Linked DNA regions of Kluyveromyces lactis. Each later gene encodes a partner of the first gene's protein in a complex. Links are inferred from orthologs where the notes say so. Each region holds a gene or a part of one and is shown on either strand. Other genes may lie near its edges.

Evidence for each region. Proteins that work in one complex are often made in the same cells at the same time.
Region 2: the proteins of PML1 (region 1) and IST3 are in contact, whole or in part, in an NMR structure (PDB 2MY3), measured with the Saccharomyces cerevisiae proteins. The link is inferred for Kluyveromyces lactis from reciprocal best matches to the Saccharomyces cerevisiae genes PML1 and IST3. Residues at the interface, in NP_013116.1 of Saccharomyces cerevisiae: Ser23, Tyr25, Ile26, Asp27, Ile28, Met29, Pro30, Asp31, Phe32, Ser33, Pro34, Ser35, Gly36, Leu37, Leu38, Glu41; in NP_012270.1 of Saccharomyces cerevisiae: Asn39, Glu41, Leu42, Thr43, Glu44, Gly45, Asp46, Leu48, Val50, Val60, Arg64, Asp65, Glu66, Asn67, Lys96, Ile97, Gly98, Gly99, Lys117, Tyr118, Ala121, Val122, Glu125.

Annotation. Positions count from the first base shown.
Region 1 is NC_006040.1:802,901-805,592, reverse strand, and holds PML1 (Pml1p), read right to left. Parts: upstream 1,172-2,692; coding exon 518-1,171; downstream 1-517. Other genes in the region: RNA-dependent ATPase HCA4, read left to right, coding at 1,498-2,692. UniProt on the Saccharomyces cerevisiae protein: Required for efficient splicing and pre-mRNA nuclear retention.
Region 2 is NC_006040.1:1,156,764-1,159,371, forward strand, and holds IST3 (U2 snRNP complex subunit IST3), read right to left. Parts: upstream 1,229-2,608; coding exon 728-1,228; downstream 1-727. Other genes in the region: actin cytoskeleton-regulatory complex protein PAN1, read left to right, coding at 1-582; KLLA0_D13442g (bifunctional 4-hydroxy-4-methyl-2-oxoglutarate aldolase/oxaloacetate decarboxylase), read left to right, coding at 1,564-2,271; DJP1 (Djp1p), read right to left, coding at 2,488-2,608. UniProt on the Saccharomyces cerevisiae protein: Required for pre-mRNA splicing and spliceosome assembly. As part of the pre-mRNA retention and splicing (RES) complex, required for nuclear pre-mRNA retention and efficient splicing. Required for MER1-activated splicing.

The DNA.
Region 1 (2,692 bases):
TTTTGATGACGAATTATAATCACCTTCAATACTCCGAAAACAATGGGAGACTATAAACTCAACTGAAAGAAAAAAAATAACGAATTCAACAATGCTTGTTTTCTTCCGTCCTGCGAATGAAGTCACATCCGAAAGCAAAACTTTAGTTTACTTTGCAATCTTTCAATTTCCAAATCTGTATTGTCTTGCGCATGTCATTTCTATATTTGACAAGCTCTGATGCTGACCCGTATGTCTGGAACAACACAACTGCGGAAAGTTCCATTGACTTGTACGCAACGAGAAGAATAAAGCAGCAAAAAAAAAAAAAAGAAAAAGTTCTTGTTTAACATATTTAAAACGAGTCCAACTACCTCTTCCATTCTCTAGCATACATCGATATTGATTTATCTTTTTCTCACATAGTTTTGTAATGTATAGAAATTACATTTCCGATTTTATAAAATACAAATAATATAAGGTTTCAAGAAATCGATTCTCAAGAAGGACTTGTACATGAAAAATACAAAAGAATAGATCATACGGCTAGGAAAATGAGCTCATAATCTGAATCATTTGGATCTTCAGATACGTGTATAATATCAGAGCTCTTTAACTCGATATACCGGGCGCTAGGAACGGCTGAATCATTCAAACACGTACCGTTGGAAGAATCAAGATCAATCAAGTATGGAATTAAAGATTCACCGACTTGTCGGAATTGTACGGCACAATGTTCTTTCGAACAGCTTTCCTCTTGGATTGGGATATCAGCAAGAATAATTTCCTCTCCATCAGATTCGAAGCGTCGTAGACTCTGACCTAATCCTCTACCGATAATATAGCAACTTTTATCATGCAACTTAGTTTTACTTACTTCACCCTTGACGCCCTTCCTATACACAACAAGCTCATAACGAATTTGATCCCACTTAGGTACTTTTAGCTTTTTATAGAAATCGTGGGGTGATATCGCATCTTTGGGCTCTACATGCTTAAGTTGTATGCCTTTTTTCTGGTGGCTTTCCAGTTCCAATAATCCTGATGGCTCAAATATAGGCAAGATTACTTTTTTTTGGGCACCTTCATAGCGGCTTCTTTTCGTTTCGTGATCGTATCGATATCTGCTACCTTCACGTTTGATGCTCATTCTTTTGGCGCCGTTGCTTCCATAGATGACGGTATATTCCATATATCTTACATATTTATTCCATATATTGTGCAATTCACAATATAAGGTTCATCTGTCATTTCATCGCTTTTCATGTTGTAGGAAAAAAGAAATAGAAAAGAAAATTTTTGGTAAATAGAAGAGCTCATCTCATCTCATCTCATCTAGATAGAGGTTCGAACCTCAACCTCAAGGAAAAGTAGTTTACTTTGTCTTTGAGCGGTATCATTAATCGACCTATAGAGAAGTTGATTAAAGTAGCAAACTGGTGCATTTAATCATTTAACTAAACGTTTAATCAACTGTGCCAATATAACTTATAATTGGTTTGCAAAGAGCATTTAAAGATGGCCAAGAAACAAAAGCATAATACCCAGCAGCGTAAGCTGATTCGTGAAAGAGACAGCCAGAAGATCAAAGATCTTGAAACTAAGGTTGAAGAATATAACCCGAAAATTGCTAAGGCTAATTTGTTTCAAGATTTACCCATTAGTGAACAAACTCTAAAAGGGTTGAAAGAAGCAGCATTTATCAAATTAACCGAGATTCAGCGCGAGTCCATACCTCTCTCCTTGAAAGGCCACGATGTATTAGGCGCTGCCAAGACAGGTTCTGGTAAGACTCTAGCATTTTTGATCCCTGTTATCGAAAAGTTATACAGAGAGAAGTGGACAGACATGGATGGGCTAGGTGCATTGATCATCTCCCCAACAAGAGAATTGGCCATGCAAATATATGAAGTGTTAAGTAAAATTGGTAAGCACACTACCTTCTCCGCCGGTTTGGTTATTGGTGGTAAAGATGTTACTTTTGAGAAAGAGAGAATTTCGAGAATTAACATTCTAATAGGAACACCAGGCAGAATCTTACAGCATATGGATCAAGCCGTTGGATTCAATACTTCAAATTTACAGTTGTTAGTACTCGATGAAGCCGACAGATGTCTAGATATGGGTTTCAAGAGAACCCTTGATGCCATTATTAATAATTTGCCTGCTTCAAGACAAACACTTTTGTTTTCAGCTACTCAATCACAAAGTTTGGATGACTTGGCTAGATTATCTTTGACAGATTACAAACAGGTAGGAACGATGGAAGTTTTAAATGCTAATAGTTCATCTGCGACTCCAGAATCTTTACAGCAGTCATATATCGAAGTGCCACTACCTGACAAACTTGACATTCTGTTCAGTTTCATAAAATCGCATTTAAAGTCTAAGTTAATTGTGTTTCTATCAAGCTCTAAACAGGTGCATTTTGTTTATGAAACTTTCAGGAAATTACAACCTGGTATATCTTTGATGCACTTGCATGGTAGACAAAAGCAAACGGCGAGAACTGAGACGCTGGATAAGTTCAGCAGAGCGCAACATGTCTGTCTATTCTCAACTGATGTGGTTGCTAGAGGTATTGATTTCCCATCTGTTGATTGGGTGATCCAGGTTGATTGTCCTGAGGATGTCGATACATATATCCACAGAGTTGGAAGAGCAGCCAGATTCGGTAAAGAAGGTAAGTCACTCATTATGTTAACACCAGAGG
Region 2 (2,608 bases), about 350 kb from region 1:
CGAGGCTTGGATGACAGTGACGGATGGTCAGATGATGACGAAACAGAGAAGGTAAATACTACAGCCAACAAAGCTGTTGATGTCAGTAGTACCGCTGTTCCTGCTACATCTACCGCGTCCGTTCCTGTGGCACCATCTCTCCCACAGATTTCTGCAACCACTCAAGAACAATCGTCTGTCGCTGTTCCTATTGCACCACCTTTGCCTTTAGTTAAAAGCGAATCATCCCTGATCCCACCTCCACCTCCATTGCCTACGTCGATTACTGAAGGGTCTGGTGCCCCACCAGTACCTATCGCCCCACCATTGCCTCAAATAAACAGTGACGTAGCACCTGCTGTTCCTGTGGCAGCTCCTTTACTAAAAGTAGGAGGAACTGCAACTTTAGCAGAGAACGAAGAACCAAAGCCGGATGATGCATCCGACGTACTATCTATCCCAGAGTCGGTGGCCTCTGATGAGGAAGATAAGTTCCATACACCAGGTGCTGAAGATGTATCTGTCGCACCTACTGGCGCAATCCCTCCCGCTCCTCCCGCTCCTCCAGTGCCGGTCATCCCTCCACCACCACCGATGCCATAAGTTATATGCTCTCGCGTCCGTAAATTCATGTATCTAAATTATTGAAAAGTAGTTACAGGATATGTACATAAATATCATTTGAAACTAAAAGTCTACGTTGTCATAAAAGAACTGCTCCGTACTTGTTCCTTTAGGAATGTGAATTTCATTTCTTCAGAAACGCAGCCATTGGATCAGCAAACTCATCCAACGGGTCAGCCACCGATTCTTGCTTCATGGGTTCACTCGGTACGTCTCCTGTTTTTGCGAAATCCTTCTCCAACTCTTGTCTTACAGCTTCCTCGTACTCAGCTTCATCGGATCTTGGCCTATAAAAAGCATGATCTACTCGTATCAGTCTTCCACAAACCTTGGCTCCATTTAGGTTATCCACCGCAAGTATAGTCGATCTTTGATCTTCATACTTGAGAAACCCGAACCCTTTAGATTTTCCAGTTGTCTGGTCGCGTACAAGTTTGATGTCCACAGGACAGCCGTACTGGGAGAATATGGTGAGAATATCAGCTTCTGTCAATTCGAGGTGCATCCCTCCAAAGTTTATGTAGGCCTGATCTTTATACTCATGATGCCATGAGCTTTCTGGCTTTAGAATCCCACATTCCAACTCCCTTTCACTAAGTTTCTGTATCGACCTTATCTGATTCATAATTGATAATCGTATTGGATCTTCACTTCCAAATATTCACAGTTGAACCAGCCTCCCAATGACCGCAAAGTACCAGCTCTATTGGTTATTCCTTATCCTTTCTATCAGAAAATTGCAGCTCCTTTTCGGTAACCGTCAAATTCTTCTCCGGTTCCTCCATTCGTGCGTAACACCTTCAATTGTCTTCTTGTTCTTATATAAACGAACTTTCAAGAAACTTATTCAAATCTTTAACACCTTTAAATTATCAACACTTTTCCATCGCTCGAAAGAAGTTAAATCCAGAGTTTATGCACTACCGGGATCGCTGCTGAATTATAATTCCCACACGCAGAATGTCAGAGTATCTTGCAAGGTTGAGACATTTCACTACTTGTGACATCTCAGATGGGCTATTGAATTTGTATGGAATCACTAATGGTGGATATTTCCCTAATTTGGTGAGAAGGTCAGGGTCTGGGACTATCGTGGGTAGGGCTTTTCCTGTGTTGTTCGGGCATAAAAATGCTACCCAAGATAAACCCAGTGTCAATTACATCGATAATGTGCCAGCAGAATCTATCGTAACCATCGGTATGACTGAAGATTTACAATTGAGCAGTGCTCCATATACCAAACCTATTCAGGGCATGTACGGTGGATTAATGTCTACAAGAGCAAAATATTTAGGCAGCCATGGTACGGTTGTATTTGGTAGAATCAGAGATATCGAAGAGCATAAGGCATTGGATCACAGCGTTTTCAGTTACGGTATCGGTACCTGTGCTCCAAAAGCAGTTTTGAAACCGATTTCGTATAACTGTGAGTTGAAGATTAAGATTAGCGATGGCACTACGGAGACAATTAATCCCGGCGATTATTTGGTATGTGATGATCATGGAATGGTTCGTATTCCAACTGCCGCCGTCGACTTAGATAAGTTGATCACATATATAGAAAAGTCTATCGAAGCCGATGACCTTGTTTCTCAAGACATAAAGGAGGGAAAACCTGCTGCTCAGTCTCAATCAGAACGTAGAGCAATTCTTAAACAATATTTGTAATTTACAGCCCTCCCCCGTTGATCGTCAGGAGTTGCAATATTCGGTTGCGTAGTCGAAAGTTTATCGCTATGTTAAATTAATATTATTGTCAATTAAGTAGCAAGCTATGTATGTATATATGAACATGATGCAGAAATAAAGAATGAAAAAACAAGAATTGGCAAGTGTTTATGCTATTATTAGGTAGGAAGCACTCGGTTTGAGAATATTTTGTATTCACTGTTTATTGGCAGTGCTGCTAGTGTGATGCTTATGACCCTTTTTCTTGCTTGCTTCCGCCACGAGCTCTTCAAACACTTGGGCATCCTCTTGTTCTGTTTTCGTCCGGTATGCCCTT